Linked DNA regions of Stegostoma tigrinum. The protein of the gene in region 1 purifies or fractionates together with the protein of each later gene. This does not show direct contact. Links are inferred from orthologs where the notes say so. Each region holds a gene or a part of one and is shown on either strand. Other genes may lie near its edges.

What was found. Proteins that work in one complex are often made in the same cells at the same time.
Region 2: the proteins of pop1 (region 1) and ribonuclease P protein subunit p25-like protein purify together in Homo sapiens (affinity purification with mass spectrometry; 3 studies listed by BioGRID and IntAct, counting the BioPlex papers as one, with this or other methods). This does not show direct contact. The link is inferred for Stegostoma tigrinum from reciprocal best matches to the Homo sapiens genes POP1 and RPP25.

What each region holds. Positions count from the first base shown.
Region 1 is NC_081358.1:122,562,064-122,573,183, reverse strand, and holds the start of pop1 (ribonucleases P/MRP protein subunit POP1), read left to right. Parts: upstream 1-6,504; 5' UTR 6,505-6,638; coding exon 6,639-6,666; intron 6,667-10,193; coding exon 10,194-10,340; intron 10,341-11,120. Other genes in the region: rida (2-iminobutanoate/2-iminopropanoate deaminase), read right to left, coding at 1,183-1,288, 6,115-6,182. UniProt on the Homo sapiens protein: Component of ribonuclease P, a ribonucleoprotein complex that generates mature tRNA molecules by cleaving their 5'-ends. Also a component of the MRP ribonuclease complex, which cleaves pre-rRNA sequences.
Region 2 is NC_081389.1:16,611,032-16,621,837, reverse strand, and holds the start of ribonuclease P protein subunit p25-like protein, read left to right. Parts: upstream 1-5,570; 5' UTR 5,571-6,593; coding exon 6,594-7,253; 3' UTR 7,254-8,897; exon of another isoform or gene 8,898-8,987; 3' UTR 8,988-10,806. UniProt on the Homo sapiens protein: Component of ribonuclease P, a ribonucleoprotein complex that generates mature tRNA molecules by cleaving their 5'-ends. Also a component of the MRP ribonuclease complex, which cleaves pre-rRNA sequences.

The sequences.
Region 1 (11,120 bases):
GCAAAAACGCACAAACGCCTCTGACGATCACTGCTCTAGTGTTCAAGTCTAGATGGGCAAATATCAGTACATGACTGATCCAAACAGCAGCAGTGTAAACTGGAACCATTCATTGTGAAATCCTCAGAAACCACGAGTCAGGGGGAGAACATGGTCAAAAAATTATTTTATACAATTAAAACCAAAGAATGGAAAATATGGGAAGTGGGATGTTTACAAAATTAAAGCTCTGAGATGATTCAACAATGAATGACTTGATGGGCCTTCTGTGGCGTGGGGATTCTATGATTCAATAAAAAGCAGTCAGAGCTATTATACATTTATATATGAATGTTGTGTTGTGCATAATTTGGGCTTTGGGAAGGAAGAGAAGGCTTTGAGCCGAGTAGAGAAGAAATTTGTAAGAATGGTATGAGTGATCACTTATGCAGAAAGACAGGAGAAACTAGGGTTGGTTAGAGGAGATTTGATAGAGGTATTTAAGGTGAAGGGTCTAGTGCCAGTAAATAAAGAGAAATGGTTTATGATGACTGAAGCAGCAATAACCAGGGGGCACAGATTTCTGGTGATTGCAAAGACCAGAGGTGACATGAGGTAAAATGTTTGAGTAACAAGTGGTTACGGTCTGCCGTGCATTATTGGTGCATACAGATTTAATCATGGCTTTCAAAATGGCAATGGATAAATATGTGGAGAAAAAAATTGCAGAAAAATAGCTGGAAAAAATGGAACTAACTGATTTGTTCGTTGAAGGAGCAAGCAAAAACTTGCTAGACCTCATTTAGGGCGGCACGGTGGCTCAGTGGTTAGCACTGCAGCCTCACAGCACCAGGCACCCGGGTTTAAAAATTAGCCTCAGGTAACTGTCTGTGTGGAGTTTCCACATTCTCCCTGTGTCTGTGTGGGTTTCCTCCAGGTGCTCCGCTTTCCTGCCACAGTCCAAAGATGGGCAGGCTAGGTGGCTTGGCCATGCTAAATTGCCCATAGTGTTCAGGGGTGTGTGGGTTATAGGGGGATGGGTCTGGGTGGGATGCTGTAAAGGGCAGTGTGGATTTGTTTGGCCAAAAAAGGGCCTGTTTCCACACTGTTGGGAATCCAATCTAATATCATACACCACCATAGGTGCTGTAGTATTCCGAGAGTGTGCCAGGGATTTTGTTGTTAATGAAGTTTAGATATTACTTGCTTTGCTTCCTGTGCTGTTCCTCCAGTTACAAGCTGGCCAGTTGCAGGATCCAACCCCAGCTGACCAGAAATGTACATGGTGCGATCCACAACCACTGCTTGGCTGCAAAACAAAAAAGTGGATGTGTTCATAAAGCACACCATAGAATAATACGAGAAGGCCTCTGCTTCCCAAGGGCAACTAATGGCAATCATGTAACTATCATTGATTGCTTTCCACAGAAATCTAGTTCAAATATTCTTTAGAGAAGGATACCTCCTGTCACAGCAAGGTGGTTGCTCTTAACTGCCCTCTGAAATGGCCTAGCAAGCCAGTCAATTCAAGTGCCAACTAGGGTGGGTAATAAAAACTAGCCCAGCTAACACCTACACCTGATGAATGCATTAAAGATAAAATGATTTGAACAAGTGTAAGTGTTTGCAAAATCAGGGATTAATACTGTGACCATGCTGCCATGATTGCATCAGACACACCAGATCAGTTCAATGGCCCCTTTTCCACAGGGTTTGCTGAGATGATCTTTTCACTTGGCAAGACTTGCTATTTTTCCAATCTCTCTTCCTGTACTTTTCAGTTCGTTGCAGGATGCACAGAACGACTGGTTCACAAATTATACCCATTCTCCGACTTATAAATTAAAAACATTTTCCCATTTCAGTCCAAAATCTAAAATACAGAAAATTTACCACGAACCTTGGATGACGAGAGCGGTGGAGCTTCTAGTGAAAAGGAAGAAGGTAGCTTACATAAGGTGGACGAAGGTAGGGTCAAGTTCAGCTAGAGAGGATTACATGCAGGCAAGGAAGGAGCTCAAAAATGGTCTGAGGAGAGCCAGGAGGGGGCACGAGAAAGGCTTGGCAGAACGGATTAGAGAGAACACAAAGGCATTTTACACTTACGTGAGGAATAAGAGAATGGTCAAAGAAAGAGTAGGGCCGATCAGGGATAGCATAGGGAACTTGTGTGTGGAGCCTGAGGAGGTAGGGGAAGCCCTAAATGAGTTTTTTGCTTCTGTCTTTACGAAAGAAACGAACTTTGTAGTGAATGAAACCTTTGAAGAGCAGGTGTGCATGCTGGAATGGATAGAGATAGACGAAGCTGATGTGCTGAAAATTTTGTCAAACATTAAGATTGACAAGTCGCCAGGCCCGGATCAGATTTGTCCTCGGCTGCTTTGGGAAGCGAGAAATGCAATTGCTTCGCCACTTGCGAAGATCTTTGCATCCTCGCTCTCCACTGGAGTCGTACCTGAGGACTGGAGAGAGGCAAATGTAATTCCTCTCTTCAAGAAAGGAAATAGGGAAATCCCCGGCAATTATAGACCGGTAAGTCTCACGTCTGTCGTCTGCAAGGTGTTAGAAAGGATTCTGAGGGATAAGATTTATGACCATCTGGAAGAGCATGGCTTGATCAAATACAGTCAACACGGCTTTGTGAGGGGTAGGTCATGCCTTACAAACCTTAGAGTTTTTTGAGGATGTGACTAGAAAGGTTGATGAGGGTCGAGCTGTGGATGTGGTGTATATGGACTTCAGTAAGGCATTTGATAAGGTTCCCCATGGTAGGCTCATTCAGAAGGTCAGGAGGAATGGGATACAGGGGAACTTAGCTGCTTGGATACAGAATTGGCTGGCCAACAGAAGACAGCGAGTGGTAGTAGAAGGAAAATATTCTGCCTGGAAGTCAGTGGTGAGTGGAGTTCCACAGGGCTCTGTCCTTGGGCCTCTACTGTTTGTAATTTTTATTAATGACTTGGACGAGGGAATTGAAGGATGGGTCAGCAAGTTTGCAGACGACACAAAGGTCGGAGGTGTCGTTGACAGTGTAGAGGGCTGTTGTAGGCTGCAGTGGGACATTGACAGGATGCAGAGATGGGCTGAGAGGTGGCAGATGGAGTTCAACCTGGATAAATGCGAAGTGATGCATTTTGGAAGGTCGAATTTGAAAGCTGAGTACAGGATTAAGGATAGGATTCTTGGCAGCGTGGAGGAACAGAGGGATCTTGGTGTGCAGATACATAGATCCCTTAAAATGGCCACCCAAGTGGACAGGGTTGTTCAGAAAGCATATGGTGTTTTGGCTTTCATTAACAGGGGGATTGAGTTTAAGAGTCGTGAGATCTTGTTGCAGCTCTATAAAACTTTGGTTAGACCGCACTTGGAATACTGCGTCCAGTTCTGGGCGCCCTATTATAGGAAAGATGTGGATGCTTTGGAGAGGGTTCAGAGGAGGTTTACCAGGATGCTGCCTGGACTGGAGGGCTTATCTTATGAAGAGAGGTTGACTGAGCTCAGTCTCTTTTCATTGGAGAAAAGGAGGAGGAGAGGGGACCTAATTGAGGTATACAAGATAATGAGAGGCATAGATAGAGTTGATAGCCAGAGACTATTTCCCAGGGCAGAAATGGCTAGCACGAGGGGTCATAGTTTTAAGCTGGTTGGTGGAAAGTATAGAGGGGATGTCAGAGGCAGGTTCTTTACGCAGAGAGTTGAGAGAGCATGGAATGCGTTGCCAGCAGCAGTTGTGGAAGCAAGGTCATTGGGGTCATTTAAGAGACTGCTGGACATGTATATGGTCACAGAAATTTGAGGGTGCATACATGAGGATCAATGGTCGGCACAACATTGTGGGCTGAAGGGCCTGTTCTGTGCTGTACTGTTCTATGTTCTATGTTCTATACAAACTGATCAGTTCTCCATCCCTAACAAACACCTACACCCAAAGGATTGCAGTGGCTTAGACAGGAATACCACACAAGGGCAATCAGGAATGGAAGAGAAAAGAAATGCTGACCGAGCTGGCAATGCCCACATCCTGTGACAGGTAATAAAAGATATGGCAGTGGAGTAGGATGATCCAGCCGGAGCTCGTCTGTTCCACCCGTTCTTCCCTCACCTACTCTTAGCGTTTCTTTTACTTTTTCTCTGCCGGCCCTCGACAAATCCCAGCCTCCAGTGACTCCCGAATTCCGACAACCTGTGGCCTGGTGTAGATACCTCCCGGCACGGTGCGGCAACTTCATCAGTCTATTGTAGTGAACACCTAGGGCGGCCTCCAAGAATGGCGTGCCCCCAGCCCAGCGCGGCAGTCTCCCAGCTTCGTTATCCTAGAGGCTAAACCCAGAGCGAGGCAGAACCAGGGCTCGGTGCAGAGTGGAAACTAGGTGCATGTGGTTTGTTGTTCTTAACTTTTTTCTGCAATGCTGGACATTTTACTTCTCTATTGCTTAAAATCTTGTACCTAAAGAAGCTGTACCCAGGTACATTTATACCAACACTGTCGCCACTTCGAGTGCCAACATGTGAACTTTTCATTGAGTATGTGACAATAAAGTTAATTCAGTTCAATTCAAAAAACAGCATGCGCAGAACCCGCAGTACTGTAGAAATTAAACAGCAGACCACTCCAACATTACACTAAAGAAAACGGTAATCGCCAGATAAAGGTCGAGTTACCATTGTCCCATCTGAGCACAGGGCTGTTCACTCATTAAAGAGGAGTGATTAGTTCACTATAAACCCAATAACTTAATCTTATGGCTTCCTATGGTACCTGTAAACTCCAAGTCTAATCGGAGCTTTGGGAGTATAGACATAAACCAGTTTTGTAGCCATCGTCGATTTTTTCCTCGCTTCAGGCTTTCAGTATCAGATTAATATTACAGCAAGAAAGTGACCTTTGGAACGTACTATTGTCAAAACAATACTGCTGCCAAGAATCATGGCACACATTTTCTTGTACTGCCTATGACCATTTTAATCGAAATCAAACTTCATTTTCACATGTTAGAAGTGATTTTCATTTTCTCTGCTGAATTTATTTAGCTTTTTTTTTAAAAAAAAGCCTTGTCCTGCTGAATGCCATTTCCCCCTCTCAGTCACTTCCTGTGACTGATTTTACTTTGCGTTATTCCTATTCACATTCTGCTTCAGGCTGCATGGTCTCACTAATGGTTCTTCGATTTGACTGGCTAATAAACTAGGTAATCAAAATTTGGAACACACAACTCCTCTCTGAGTATTAAAAAGTTACACAGTACTGTGCTAAGATTACAAAATTCAGGCACAAATTGGCTGATCTACAGTTGGATGATAATAAATGCAAAAATCTCAGTGCTATTCAAGAGTTTGCTATGCATTAATTAGCAGCTGTGAATCTGGTCTTACAATGGTGGCATCAAATATGTCCCATTGCTTGATAGGGTCTGGAGCACATTTCTGTTCATTGCAAGTTGAATAGAAAAGTAAAAACATTTCAACCTAGAGACCCTTTTAGAATATATGGTAGTTTCCCCCTTCTGTCACAGTGTTTAAACAGTTATATGATCAGAGGGGAGGTGTAATAACACTTCAAAAGGACTTTGCCTTGTGCAGCAATAATGGGAACTGCAGATGCTGGAGAATTCCAAGATAATAAAATGTGAGGCTGGTGAGCACCTCAGGTGCTCCTGAGATGCTGCTTGGCCTACTGTGTTCATCCACCCTCACATTTTATTATCTTGCCTTGTGCAGCAGCCGCTTAAAACTACTTGTCCTAAAGTTAGACTGTGCAGTTACCTCGCTCCTTTCTTCAGCTCCCAAAAAAGGTGTTGTATCACCAATTAAGTACTTCCAAAAGGTGTCATAATGCAAGAGCTTTGGTTTTAAAAAGAAACTACCGTTGAAAGACAGCAGTACCATGTGTTTACCGAAACACAAAACTGTTATAGCGCAGGAGGCCATTCGGTCCGTCAAGGCCGTACGGGCTCTTCAAAACGAGCATCATTACCAGGTCCCAATCTCCTGCCTTCCACCCCCCATATCTTGCACACCATTGCTATGCAAATAATCATTCAGCGCCCTCTTGAATGCCTTACACAAGCTGTCAATCTCCAACACCGCTTCAAAATTAAAGGGGATAATCTTACTCCATCGTTCTTGGGAGATTACCTGTAGGGACCAATTGCCCCCGGTGCCTTGCTAGTGCTGATCACCCTCCTCACTAACGCTGCCATCATGTCTGAGCAACGTTCCAGCAAGCACTGCGCATGCGGCAGCCAGCCCGCGCTGCAGCACGGGCTTTGTAGTCCCGGACTGGACACATCTCCCAGAATGCCATTGGATGCGCAGCCGCCGCAGAAGAGGTTCACGTGCGGGACCGTTGGTCGGAGTTCGGGATGCGGGAGTGACCGGCTGCTGTGGACACGACCCAAAAAAATTTCGTCTGAAGACAGCCTAGATCCTCGGTATGTTATTGTAATCCGAAGATATTCTCTTCGCAAAATAAGATCACGTTAACGGTGTAGCGGCAAGATGGTCATAATACAGTTTGCTTGTCACTCCTGACGCATTGCGCGTACTGATGCCTTCACGCATGTTCGGTGTGGGCGCACCTGTCATGCGCATCCGGCTGCCCCTTAATCACGTGTCACCTTAGAAGACTGAATGTTGCAAGATGCCGCAAACCTAAGCTGATGCCTGACTGTGGTTTCCCTTTTAGAGGTGAGGAAGGCCAATATAAGTCCAAGTATTTGGGGTAGGATTAGGTGCATAATTGGGACTAAAATATGAGAAACAACGAGGCTAAACAAAAATAGAGTAAATTAATTTTAGAGATAATGGGAACTGCAGATGCTGGAGATTCCAAGATAATAAAATGTGAGGCTGGATGAACACAGCAGGCCAAGCAGCATCTCAGGAGCACAAAAGCTGACGTTTCGGGCCTAGACCCTTCATCAGAGAGGGGGATGGGGGGAGGGAACTGGAATAAATAGGGAGAGAGGGGGAGGCGGACCGAAGATGGAGAGCATCTTTGCTCTCCATCTTCGGTCCGCCTCCCCCTCTCTCCCTATTTATTCCAGTTCCCTCCCCCCATCCCCCTCTCTGATGAAGGGTCTAGGCCCGAAACGTCAGCTTTTGTGCTCCTGAGATGCTGCTTGGCCTGCTGTGTTCATCCAGCCTCACATTTTATTAAATTAATTTTAGGAATGGCAGACTGGCCGAAAGAGGAGAGCTTGATTTGCCTGGATGTAGAGTTTAAAAGAATGAGAAGGGATCTAATTGAAATGTATAAAAATCCAAAAGAGCTGGATCGTCTAGGTCTTGAGAGGATGTTTTCCCCTGCTTTGGGATATAGAACCAGTCATCACTGTCTCATGATGCAGGGCAGGCCCTTTAAGTCTGAAATGAAAAAAAAATCTCTTGACTCGAAGGGTAGTGAACCTGTGGGACTTGCTACCTCAGAAGGCACATTGAATATGTTCAGAAAACATGTTAACTTTTTTTTAGATTTCAAAGGCATCAAGGCTAATGAGGAGAAAGTAGGGATATCTTTTTGAGGTAGAGGAAGTGTGTTCGTGTTCAATGGCAGAGCAGGAAAGAAGGGCCAACTAGCCAACGTCTGCTGTTGGTTTCTAGGTTTCTGTGTCCAAAAATGGTAGCAAATTTTCTGTTATCCAGTTAATTGTAAAGATGAGGCATTGTTTTGAGGCTGTATTTGTCACCTCTGGATGTGAATGAACCTTGAATTCTCTTTGCTATCCTGCCAATATTTTTTATCCCTTAGTAAACACCCTTAGAACAATCAGTTTATTGCTTGGAGAGTTGGGTTTTTTCATGTGTAAGTTAGCTACTGTGTTTTCCATCATAAAAAATGAATATACTTCAAAAAAATATTTTTCCTATTCAAAGCACTTTGTGACATTCTGATGTCATGAAAGTTGATATGTAAATGTAAGTTTTTGAATGCCTGCAGTTTTATACGTTGTGCCATCTTATGGTTGTCAGGGGATAAAATAGTGAATACTGATAAAGTAATGAAAAAAGTCCAATTTCAGATCTGTTTAAGTATTTATCTATGTACATACTGGAGGGTTTTCTTCAAATCCACCATATTTGTGACAACAATAAATCAAACTCAAACTTAGTATTTTGTCCAACAATGTTTTTCTGACTTAAACGAATCGAAAATTAAATAGCTTTTTTGTGAGGCTGCTGAAGTGATGCAATGCAGTAAAAGAGATCGTGGGTACGGTTGCAGGTGAAAAGAGAAGGGTTTATCAGACTCATTTTAATTGGGTCAAAACATTTCTTTATTCTTGGTTATCATTAGCAAATGGAATTTAGCCAAACAAATTTTCCTCCCTTATTTTGATTCCTTTTAGTTCACATATTGGAGAATTATATATTGCATTATATTGATAACTCTCAACCGTTCAAATCATGTCAATTTTCTTGCAAGATATTTAGCAGCAACTAGGGCAAAAAGAGTGCTCAGAATATAGGCATTGCTGTGCTGTTGAACTTCAGTAATTCCGCTCCCTTTCATACAGGGAATGGGGCCAGAAATCACATGTCGCCAGGTTATTAACTTATAACTATTTGTGCAATCATTATTTATTTTAAAGAACAGGTTTTGAAGCTATAGAGTGAGTAGATTTAATGTACTAATAGACTTTTATTTGGATTGTAAAACAATCTAAAGTCCACTGAACTCCTGCACAAAATCTAGTCCCCAGTCTGAACCTGGTTATCTTGGTCCTCAAATGTTTGTTAGTTCTGGAATGTGTGTTCTCTCAGCTTGAGAAAAACATTGTGTGATAGAGTTTTAGTTTTACTTTTGACTTTGGGGTAGCATTAGTCCTGTGAAGTCTTTAGAGTAGGATGGCAGTACACCAGAGAAGGGAATGGTAGATATAATAATAAAAATTACCTTCAAGCCAAGAATTGGTTTCAGTCCCAGAACAGAAATTACCTAAGGTGTTACTTACAACTGAATAAGGTGAAAGTCAGGTATGTGGTAGCTCCAAGAAGAAGCTATTGCAGTTTCTGTTTAAAAGTTGAAGTCGCAATTGGCATAAACTTACCAAAGTATAGATCCAGGGACTCTAGTGTGAGTTTTATATGAGTGATGTTTTGGAAACTGTACCAGGGATTTGTTATGGATACTATGTGAAAGCTGTTTTGTTTATATTCAATTTATAAAGGGGCAATTTAGGTTTAATAGAATTATGCTTTGAGTGTGAATTTAAAATCTTTAAATTTATATTTTTTAGTTAGATAGTTTGGATTATTCAATTTTGTCCTTGTTCCTGTTGTAATAAACTTCCATTTTGTTGAAGCAAAATCTGTATTATTTTATGCTTATGCAACATTGGGAGGTCACTTTGCCAATACCAATACAATTCTATGAAGCAAGGTTCTTGTCTGGGATCTGACTTGTTCAGTCTAACATCATCTGGGAGCACAGCAGCCAATAACATTAAAAACTGTAAATGTGAAACCCACAGAATACATCATAATGATTGGTGGCCTGTATGGAAAGTGATAGCTAATGTCTCATAATATTGAAGTACAGGTTTTGAGCAGCTTAGTGGCCTCATCCAGTTCCTATGAATAAAGCAAGAGCAGAGAGCCAATTTGTTATTTTGTGTGGTTTGATCTTACTAAATTATTTTACTAAAAATTCTTAAAATGTGTTTAACTTCAGCATGATGTCCATTAGTTTGTCTTAAGGATATTGAGTTGCAATCATAATGTGGTAAGGAATTGAACAACTTTAAAGATATACAAACTTATCAATACTGGATAGTTTCAAATATTTTTGTTTGCATGGTGAATCATAGTACAATGGTCAACCTCGTATCTCTAATGTGACAAGAATGTTTATTTTCTATATACCAAACAGTAAGTTCTAATATATGTTTAGATCAATTTTGTTGTTCTTGGACTGGCCTTTATTTGCCGTCTGCATTGCTCTGGAAAGGTAGTGATGATGGGCTGTCACATTACAGCCCATTAATTAATAAATGAATCGCTAGGCTACTTCTACAAATTATTTTAAGAATTGAACTCTTTGGAATAAAATTTGAATCATACAGCCCCCAACACCAAGCCATCCCCCAACTTCCTTAAAAGGGGCAGTAGATTTTCTTCCCTGATGACTGTTTGTCCGCAGGTAAAGCGATCTTTCAGATATTTTAGTACATATTTTGTTATGATAGTGTGTTAATTATATTGTCTTTGCAAAGCCATGTCTGGAGTCAATCGGAAGGAAAAGAAGTATGCCAAGTTGATGAGAAACCAGCCAAGCAATATCACCTTTTCCTCATCCAACCAAGGGGCTGGCAGATCTGGAATGGGACCATCTGAATCACCGAGTTTTACAAGTTTTCAAGGTACAAAGTGTTTGCATAGTCTGTTCTTTTTTAATCAGTGTTTACTTGCTTTATAGTGAAAATAAAAAGACCAAACAATTCATGTTGATAAAGTATGTGGTATCTGTAGATCCTTGTTACTTTACTTCATCATCTGTTGTATTCTCATCTAGCCACATGTCCTGATTTGAGCGTATACTTTTAAGCCTGCAATGCAGTCTTCCCCTTCTCCCCTCGTTTAGCAATGCTATTAGGGCCGTTAGCCATTCTCACCCTGAACATCTGAATGGGAACATGGGAGTAGGTCATTCAGCCCATCGAACCTGGTCCGCTATTCAGTTGGATCATAGTGATCATCTACATTGTGCAGAAGAGGTTTATGATCTTTTCCAGTGATGAGGTCCTTCACTTGAGGAAAACACTAGGTGAAGTTGGGACTGCTTTCTTTGGAATGGAGTAGGTGAAGAAGAGATGGAGTGGCACGGTGGCTCAGTGGTTAGCGCTGCAGCCTCACAGCGCCAGGGACCCGGGTTCGATTTCAGCCTCGGGTGACTGTCTGTGCGGAGTTTGCACGTTCTCCCTGTGTCTGTGTGGATTTCCTCCGGGTGCTCCAGTTTCCTCCCACAGTCCAAAGATGTGCAGGCTAGATGGAATGGCCATGCTAAATTGCCCGTAGTGTTCGGTGGGGGGTGTGGATTATAGGGGGATGGGTCTGGGTGGGATGCTCCAAGGCGGGGGGGGTGGACTTGCTGGGCCGAAGGGCCTGTTTCCACACTGTAGGGAATCTAATCTAATCTGGAG
Region 2 (10,806 bases), on another chromosome or scaffold:
TGGACCACCTGGTATTGGCCTCGGCACCAGAAATTACAATAGAAAACCTAACCCTGTTCATCCTGTAATGTCCCCAGTGCCAAAACTGGGAAAGCTGTCCCACAGACAAATCAAGCAACAGTCTGGCATCACCCTCAGCGAATCATACCTTACAATGTCCCAGGCAGTGCCATCACTACCCCTCAGTATGATCTGTTCCACCTTCAGCACAGACCAATCAGAGAGTTTGGTACACCACCATTCATCCAATGAATCAGCTCTCCCCCATATTGAGCACTATCTGGAGGAGGTACTATTGGTGGCAGGGTCACAGAACATGTTCTGGGTAAAGAACTTCAATGTTCAGTACCAAGAGTGGCTTGACAGGAACAATACATACAGAGATGGCTGTGTCCTACAGGACAATGATGCTATACCAGACATGTGGCAGGTAGTGAGGGAACCGACAAAAATCTACTCAATCTCAGTCTCACCAATCTATCCGTTACATGGGCATTTGTCCATGTCAGAATTTGTAGGACTGATGACCACAAAGTCTTTGGGGAGATGAAGTCACATCTTCACAATGAGGGCACCCCACATTGTATTGTCTGGCACTACTATCATGTTAAATGGGATAGATTTTAAATAGATCGAGAAACTCAAAACTGGGCTTCCATAAGGCACTGTAGACCATCAGCGGCAGCAGGATTATATTCAAGCTCACCTTGTGTGTCCTCAGTAACCTACTTATGCCTCACTCTACCATTGCCGTCAAGCCAGAAGATCAACCATGGTTCAATGAAGAGTTCGGGGGGCATATCGGGGAGAAAACCTTCAGTATATCTAAACGTACAGTATTGAAGTGACTCCACAGAGGCTGGAATGGCATCACCAAGATGCCCTTTATTTACACATGAAGAGCCCTTGACACTGATCCAGCTTCCTCAGAGCCAACTCTCAGGGTGAGCAAGATGTCTGACATTCCTGTTTATATCTGTCAGCCAGGTTGGACCAGATCTTTTCTTCTCCTTATTCATTCATGGGATGAGGGTGTTGCTGGCTAGGCAGCATTTATTGCCCATCCCTAATTGCTTAGAGGGCAGTTCAGAGTCAACCACATTGCTGTGGGTCTGGAGTCACATGTAGGCCAGATCAGGTAAGGATGGCAGTTTCCTTCCCTAAAGAATACTTTAGGGAAGGAAAGATGTGTTTTTCCCGACAATCGACAATGGATTCATGGTCATCATTAGATTCTTAATTCCAAATGTCTATTGAATTTAAATTCCACCATCTGCCATGGAAGGATTTGAGCTTGCATCCCCAGAATATTATCTGGGTCTCTGGATTAACAGTCGAGCAATAATGCCACTAGGCCATTGCCCCCCTGAAATTAACAGCCCCAGTCAGAGAACTCATGCTCTATGAAGGTCAACCTGGCTGACGTTGTTACAATCACTACAGTATCAGCCTGGTGAAGATACAAGTCAGGGCTACATGTAGAAGGAAGCAAGTGACAGACAGAACTGTGCACATCCATAAACAACTGATTAGATCTTAGATCTGCAGTCCCGTCATTTCAGTTGTGAGCAGTGGTGGTCAATTAACAGAAGGAGAAGACATCATAAATATTCCCATCATCAATGATAGGAGAGCCCAACACAACAATGCAGAAAATAAGGCTGAAGCGTTTGCAAACATCTTCAGTCAGCAGTGCCAAGAGAGTAATGCATCTCGAGCTCTTCCAGAGGTCCTGAGCATCACAGATACTACTCCATGTGATATCAAGAAGCAGCTGAAGGCATTGCATATTGCAAGGGCTCAATGAAGAGTGCAGGAGGGCGTAAGAGGAGCAGCACTAAGCAGAGGTGCTAAAATGAGGTATCACAGAAATAGAAATTACTGCAGAAACTCCGATAGGTCTGGCAGCATCTGAGAGAAAAAAGCATTTCAAGTCTTTATCAGGAAATGAAATATCAATCTGGTGATGCTACAGGACTATTGGTGTACCAAACAGTATAGGCAGCAAGTGACAAACAGAGTGAAGTGATTCAGTAACTAATAAATCAGATTTAAGATCTGCTGTCATGCCACACCCAGCTACAAATGGAGATGGGCAATTAAACAACGCACTAGAGCAGGAGGCTACACAATTATCCCCATTCTCCATAATATGGGACCCTGGAACATCAGTGCAAAAGATAAGCTACAACACTTGCAACAAGCTAGAAGTGCCAAGCCATCCCATCCACCTCCAGTGGTCCCAGCATCAACCAAATTTCCTTCACATGATATCGAGAAATGGCTGAAGTCTATGGCTACTGGAAAGGCTATAGATCCTGACAATATTCCAACATACATTCCAAATGTGTTCCAGACCTTGCCAATCTCCTAGCCAAGAGAAACAGTAAGAACTGCTGATGCTGGAGTCTGAGAGAACACAGTGTGGAGCTGGATGAACACAGCAGGCCAGGCAGCATCAGAGGAGCAGGAATGCTCATGTTTGTGGTCTGGACTCTCCTTCAGAAATGGGGGAGGGGTAGGGGACCCTGAAATAAATAGAGAGTGGAGTGGATAGGGTGGGAGAGGAGGTGGACACGTCAAGGAGTCAGGGACGAGATGGGCTGGGCTTGGGATGAGGTCGGGGGTGGGAAGTTTTTGAAGCTTGTAAAATCCACCTTACAAGTTTCAAAATCTCCTCACCCCCAACCTCATCCCAAGACCAGCCCATCTCGTTCCCGACTCATTGACGTGTCCATCTTCTCTCCCACCTACCTGCCCCTCCCACCTCACCGACCAACCCCCGTCCCAACTTCCTACCTAGACTCACCTTTACTGTCTTCACCCCCACCTCCTTGACCTGTCCGTCTTCTCTCCAACTATCTGCTCCTCTATCCACCTTCTATCATCGACCCCCCGCCGTCTTTATTTATTTCAGAACCCCCTTCCCCTCCCCATTTCTGAAGAAGGGCCCAGACCTGAAATATCAGCTTCCCTGCTCCTCTGATGCTACTTGGCCTGCTGTGTTCATCCAGCTCCACACCTTGTTATCTCAGACTCCAGCATCGGCAGTTCCTACTATCTCTGAGCATCTTTTCAGGTGATGTTTTTCTGGGAATGTTTTATGTCTGGGGACATCTTGAGAAAACAAAAAAGAAATAACTTGCAGTTACATAGCACCTTTCACAGTCTCAGAATGAACAAAGTCCTTTACAGTCAATTAAATGTTATTAGAATTGTAGTAATCGTTATGTAGGGAAGTATCGGGCAGTCTACTTGCACACAGCATGCACCCATGTGAAGCAATTAAATAATCACCAACTAATCCACACCTCTGGTGTTTGTTGGCCCGGTCACAGGACAGTACTCTCTGGCTGTTCAAAACGAGCCACAAGATGTTTACAACTGAGCTGAGAGCGCAGAAAAAGCCTTGGTTTCATATCTGATCTGAAAGGTGACACCTTTGGTAATGCAGAACTCCTGCAGCTGGAGTTATGATTCTGGCTCAGAGTCGAGAGTACAACCGAATATGGGAAGGTTGCCCAGTGCATTGAGAGCGTGGGGGTATTTATGAGGAGTTTCCTGTAAAATCGTTGACATTTTCAGGATTTCTCAGAGGTCAATTGATATTTGCACGCTGAATCCCAAATTGAAAAGCTTATAATATGCCAATACAGAAAATGAAAGAAATCCTCATTCATCGACAATGGAGACTTCAAAAGAGGTAGTGCACCATCTCCGTTCCTCAAGCTTTCAAAACCAGCAAATGTGATTTGATTTTCATTGTTTTTTTCCTGCTTGCAAGATGCTTGAAGTAAAAGTTTGGCACAGACTCATTTCAGCATTGTTGCCCAAATGGTAGATGAACCCTAAATTTATTTTCTTTTTATTTATTCATGCAATGTCGGTGTTGCTGGTGACATTAACATTTGGTGCTCATTGCTAATTGCCCTCAAAAGGTACTGGTGCATTATTTTCTGCAGGAGCTCTTGTGGTATAGTGGGTATTAGTACTGCTCTTTGAGATGAATGGTCTCAGTTCAAGTTCCACCCCAGGGCCTGGGGGCCATAGTCAATGGGTATCTAATGATCAAACAGGTCAGGTATGAGCCTGTAAATGCTTCTATGGATAGATGGAAACAATAGGGGAGTCCATTCTTTGGTGAGAGCTGTGTAACAGCCCTCCTAGCTTGTTCTCTGAGGCAAGTGTCCTCTATATTTCAGCTGCCACTTCCTCGATCTACTACTGTCCATATTGATTAGGCTTTTGACCCAGTAATAGTGAAGGAAAGCCCATATAGTTCAGAACTGAGAAAGGGTCACTCAACCTGAAACGTTAACTCTGACTTCTCTCCACAGACGCTGCCAGACCTGCTGAGCCTTTCCAGCAACTTCTGTTTTTGTTTCTGATTTACTGCAGTTCTTTCAGGTTTTATTGTGGCCGTATTTCAATATTGGCCATGTTGTGCATTTAACATTCTGCTTAATGGGTTGCCTTTTGTACCTCCATTCCATTTACTTGTCATTGCTGTTTTTGTTTTAGTTCTTTGTGGATCTAGCTGGTCCAGCATTATTGCCTATCCCTAACTGCCTTCCAGAAGACGGTGGTGTGTTGCTTTCACACCACTATGCTGTTAGGAAGATTTTGACTCAGTAATAGTGAAGGAGCAGTGATATATTTCTAAGTCAGGATGAAGGAGGATGATCTACTATGTATATCACATGATATCCATTCAGTATGTTGAAAACACACATAATATAGTGTCCATGAATAATATCCACAGGTTAAAGTAATTGGAAGAAGGACGGAGAGGAGTTGATGAGTACACAGTCTTAGAGTCATACAGCACCGGAAAGGGACCCTTTGGTCCAACATGTCCATGCTGACCAGTTTTCCCAAAATAAACTAGTCCCATCGGCCCATAATCCCTCAATACCTTGCCTATTCATGTACCTGTCCAATCTTTATTTAAATGTTATTATTGTACCCGCCTCTATCACTTCCTCGGGCAGTTCATGCCATATATGCACGACCCTCTATGTGAAAAAGTCACCCCTTGGGTCCCTTTTAAATCTTTCCCCTGTCACCTTAAACCTATGCCCCTCTAGTTTTGAACTCCCCAATCCTGGAGGAAAAACCTTGGCTATTCACCCCATCCTGATTTTATAAACCCCTCAGCATCCTACATTCCAGTACGTTTTTCACCCAGAGAGCGGTAGGGAACTCTCTTGTCTGAAAGGGTGATAGCGGCAGAAACCCTAATTTGAAAAAAAAAGGAATTCTGCTGGGAGGGATTTATTTTTTACTCAGCTAGCACACAGTCAAGGGGCAGAACAGCCTTCTCCTGTCGGGTAGATACTTGTCAGTCACTGCTTGGGACCGCAAAGTGCTGCAGATAGAATGAGGCAAACGCCGCAGAGAGGAGCTTGGTGCAGAAGGGGTTAAATAAATGACATTCATTCGCCGTGAATCAGGATCTCGTCACAGGGACAGTGAGGGAGAGAGATTGCACCCTGTTCAGTACAGATGCTGCAAACAGTTTTGCCTTGGCATCAGGAGAGAAACGGTCCCCCCCCCCCCCCCCGCCCCATTCTTAACCGCGCCTTGCAATTGAAAGTGGTTAAAACACAAGACGCGTTGGAAATGGGGAGGCATTGCCCCATCCTGGATTACTCTCAGGCCGGCTGTCGAGGGAGGAGATTTCGCTGAGGAACGAGCAGCCGAGGGTCGCGGGGAGAACGGGAAGTAAGTGATGGCCGCAGCTTGATGGATGGAGCTGACGCAAAGTACAAAACACAAACATTAGGGAGCTTGCATGACTGTTTGAATCCGTTGCTGCCCCCCTATCCTGGAGCATGATGGAGTGAAACTAATCTCGCCCAAATTGTTCGTTGCTTTAAAAAAAACGTTGGCCAGTTTTTTTGCAAACCAACGGCAAAAAGAAGCTGCCAGTTTTTGTTTAGAAAGCGACCTTTGCACCGTTTTGCAAAGGAACAGAAAAAGACAGTCCATCTTTGCGAAGGAATGAATTAACAACTTTGCCCAGTTTTGCAAAACAACGACAAAAAAAAGTCTTGTCAGTTTTCTGCACAGGAAGGAAAAGAGAAGGACTTTGTTCAGTTTTGCTAACGGAGGAAAATAAAACAAACGAGTCCAGTTTTGCAAAACACCGACAAAACAAGTTGTCAGCTTTTGCACAGGAAGGAAAATAGTAGGATTTTGGCCAGTTTTGCAAAGGGACAATCTTGCAGTTTTGCAAAACATCAACGACTGAAAAAGTCTTTCAGTTTTTGCAAATGAGGAAAGCAAAGAAAAACCTTGCCTAGTTTTGCAAAACAGCGACGAAAAAAAACTGTCAGCCTTTGCACAGGAGGAAAATAAAATGACTTTGCCCAGTTTTGCAAAAGGAAAACGACGAAAATAATTTTCTTGCAAAGGAAGAGCAGAGAAAAGATTTTGCGTATTTTTTGCAAACGAAGAGGACAAAATTAAAGGACTTGGATGGTTTTCCTGACTCCAAACCAGAAAACCAAGTCAGACACTTTGGGAATTTGGTGTGAGTGGTAATGGCAGGGGGTTGGTGCATGGTCTAAGAGTACATTTGCAAAAGAGAGATGCAGGGCTCCGCTGCAAGTGGCGAGATGGCAAACTATCGGAAGATCGGGCGGACGGAGGAGGAGAGCCCCCTGCCTTTCGCTGACCTGCCGGCGGACACGGTGGAGATGCGGGTGAAGGAGGGCAGCAAGATCCGCAACCTGATGGGCTTCGCGCTGGCCCGCATGGAGCTGGAGGGGACGCGGAGGATAGTATTCAGCGGTTCGGGCCGGGCGGTCACCAAGACTATCACCTGCGCCGAGATAATGAAGCGGAGGCTGGGAGGTTTGCACCAGATCACCAAGCTCCGTCCGAGGAGCCTGCGGGAGACCTGGCAGAGCAGCACCGCCGGCAGTGCGGGTGCCCTCACCCTGCTCAAGACCGTTCCGTCCGTCTGCATCCTGCTATCCAAGGAGCCCTTGGACCCGGCCGAAGCCGGCTACCAGCCTCCGGACTGCGGACCGCCGCTGTGGCCGGAGCCGGCCGCTGGTGTCCGAACGGGGCAAGAGGAGCGAGGTCTCACCCCGGTCAACCGGGGCATCAAGCGCCGCTCCCGGGGGAGCGACAGTAGCGGCGGCTGCTGCGGGGGCGAGACGGTCCCGAAGCTCAGCAAAGGGGAAGAGGCCAGTGAGGGCGCTTCTTTCCCCGGCTACACTTACCTCCCGAACCCCCAGCAGTAACACACAGACCGCTGGCACAAGTGATAGTGCCCCTTGCCCCTACACCGGGAGTGTGTGATATAACGTCTCTGATCAGGTTCATATTTTAAAAAGTCACTTCACCATGAGGGGTCCTGTTGTGGTGCAGCGGTAGTGTTCCTGGTCCTAGACCAGTGAACACCACCCACCCCCAGCCCCATCCTTGTTGGAGTTCCACCAGCTCCAGAGGGTGTGTCAGACCATCTCTGAACAGGTCGGAAAAAGATCACCTCATCATGAGCGGACCTGTTGTGGTACAGCGGTAATGTTCCTGCTCATAGACCAGTGCCCTCCCCTCCCCCATCCTTATTGGAGTCCCACCAGCTCTAGAGGGTATGTCAGACCATCTCTGAACAGATTGAAAAAAAGATCACTTTGCCATGAGGGGTCCTGTTGTGGTGCAGCTGTAGTGTTCCTCTCCTAGACCACAATCTCCCCCTCATCCTTGCTCATGTTTGACAACCTCTTGAGGATGTGTCAGAGCATCTGTAACAGTTTAAAAAATCACTTTGCTATGATGGGCCCCCTAGTGGTGCAGCGGTAGTGTCCCTGCCCCTGGACCAGACCCCCCCCCCATCCTTGTTGACGTTCTACCAACTCCAGAGGATGTGTCAGACCATCTCTGCAAAGGTTAAAAAAATCACTTTGCCACAAGGGGCCCTCTTATGGTGCAATGGTAGTGCCCCTACTCCTGGACCAGGAGGGTGTTATATCATTTCTGAACAGGTTAAAAAATCATTTTGCCCTGCGGGCTCTTGTATTGGTGCAGTAATAATGTCCATTACATCTCTGAACGGGTTAAAAATATCACTTTCTCCTGAGGGCCTTCTTCTGGTACAATACTGGCCCAACCCTTGCACTGGGTAGCACTGCTTCGAGTCCCACCTGCTCCAGAGATGAGTCGTACCATCTCTGAACAGGTTAAATAAAATCACTTTGTGGTGAGGTCTAGCCCCAAGACGTCAGCTTTCCTGCTCCTGTGATGCTGCTTGACCTGCTGTGTTCATCCAGCTCTACACCTTGTTCTCTCACTTTGTTATGAGGGCCCTCTTTTGCTACAGTGGTAGTGTACCTATTGCTGGACTAGGTTATGTGTCATAACATCTCTGAACATGGTAAAAAAAAATCACTTTCTAACAAGGGCCCTGTTGCGATACAGTGGTACTATGCCTCCCTCCAGACTGGTTGGCCCGGATTCAACTCCAGCTTGCTGCAGAGGTGCGTGATACCATCCACCTCTGAACAGGTTGAAATAGAAAAGAAAATATGGCAGGGGCTCTGTGTGGCACAGTGATAATGTCGCTACTGCTGGGCCAGGAGGCCCAGTCAAATCCCATCTGTTCTGGAGTTGTGCTGTAACAGGAAGTTGTTTTGAATTTTCTATCATATATACTAGACTATATACCCAATCTATACAATTATAGGGCACTTTGTAAACATTAAAATGCACAGAGAAAATTAATACTGTGTGTAGGTGTGTCATGATACAGTGGAGATGCATTGTTAAGTTCCTGAATGTTAGAAGGCCTTTAGAACAATAAGCAAAAAGAAGACATAAAGGAAGGGAAACTTTATTGCAACTTCAAAACCAGCATGAAAGCAAAGTTCCCAAAGATCGCAGACTGGGTGAGATATATTGCAAAAAACGCATTTCGTCCAGTTCTGATGAGGCGTCACTCGACCCAAAACATTAACCCTGTCTCTCTCTCTCCACAGATGCTGCCAGACTTGCTGAGTTTTTCCGGCACTTTCTGTTTCCAGAGTCTGCAAGTCTTGGGATTTTCCTTTTCAGTTTAATTTTCCCCGTTAAACAGAAAGGTGGGTGTTTTAATTTTTATGTTTGTCTCTGTCCTTCTTATGTCTTCAGATGTGACTCGGATAACAGGCAAACTCAGCTCTTGTTGATTAGGAATTTACTTTGGAATGGAACTGGGCTGTATTCTCCCTGGGACTTCCTCAAATCTTGCCATGTTTCCAGTGGATAAAAAGGATGAAACAAAGTATTGGATTGCATTTAATTTCCACCAAGAGCCTTTCCTCAGTGTTTGCGAGTTTTATCCATCCACCTCACTGCCTTTTTCAATTTTCCATGCTTCTAAATGTACAAATTCAACTCATAAGTTCCTTATTTTTAACGAGAGACTCCTTCCTGAATTGCTTTTAGTTAATTTTATCCCTTTTCAGGAACTTTCCTGTTTTGTGTGTTCCCTGTCTCTCAGCAGGTAGAGGCTGCTGTTTCAGATGAACTCATAGTCTGTAGAGATTTATTTGCTCCACTATAACACAGAAAGATCGTGTGATCAAATAAGAATATGATAGAGCAAAGGTTTATTGAAAGCTCATGACTTCTATACATTGTTGTCAATGTTGACAGTGTCTTTTAGACATTTCTGAGCTTAAATGGAAATATAGTTTATGGGCACAGTTCTACTAGTGACCATTCAAGCATTGGCACCAAGGGTTGTAACAGAAGGATTTTCCTGATTTAGTTTTTAGAATTGTAATTATCTTTAAGTCTTTCTCTGAACTAAGGAGCACCTTATCCCCCTGTTGATTAAACAATTTCTTCAAGTAGAAATGAAGAATATTGGCTGATTGCACAATTTGAATTTCACTGAATTCTGCTTGTTTTATCAGGCGTTCATTCCTTCTGCGCTCTAATAGAGAGGGCGACCCTCCCTGGAGAGGGTCAGGAGGTGAATACAGCATGCATTCAAGCACATTGACAAGGTTATAGAGAAGAAACTGAGGCCTGGACTTAAATTGGACAGTGCATACAAAGGGTTTGCAGGAGTACGATGGGCCGATTGTCCCCCTTTCTGTGCAGTTTTATTCTAGGTTGCATTCAGCAAGCTTGAGTGTGTATATGTCAGTACACTGTACAAAGTCAGATGCCTGTGAGCCTTATCATGCAGTAATGATATCTACAGTGGATACAGAGTTAAATCGTGTGCCCATGTGCGATATCCGACAGTTCTGTAAATTTGCTCTCAAATCACAAACCTATCACATTTTCCATCTCTCTTAGTTCCAAAGTAAGGACTTGAAATATTTTGTTTCTTTCTCCACAGGCACTGCTACACCTGCTGAGTTTCTCCAGCATTATCAGCTTTTATTTTAGATCTTCAGCATTTGCAGTGCTTTGATTTAACAAGTGTGTTTGATAATGACGACTGTGATCTCTGCAGAACAAATCTCCCAAAACACATCGAATGAACCATGTCGTGTTTGTCTGCTGCCAGTGACATGGAAACAAGATGCTATGAATTCTTTTGCCCCAGGGATGCTATTTCTCAAGCTGTGCAGATAAATTTGCCCTTAGTCACTTGTGACACAGCCAATTTTGAAACTTCAGTGACCATTTACAAACTACATGTGGGAGAGGGTCAGATGGCAGCTGCAAATTTGTTAGTGCTCATTTTTAACTTTCAAATCCATTACATTTAGCAAAAATGAATGAATCTAACCAATCCACTGACAGAGAGAAATTAGCATTATAACATGTTTAAATACATTTTCATGTGTTCTTAGGAGT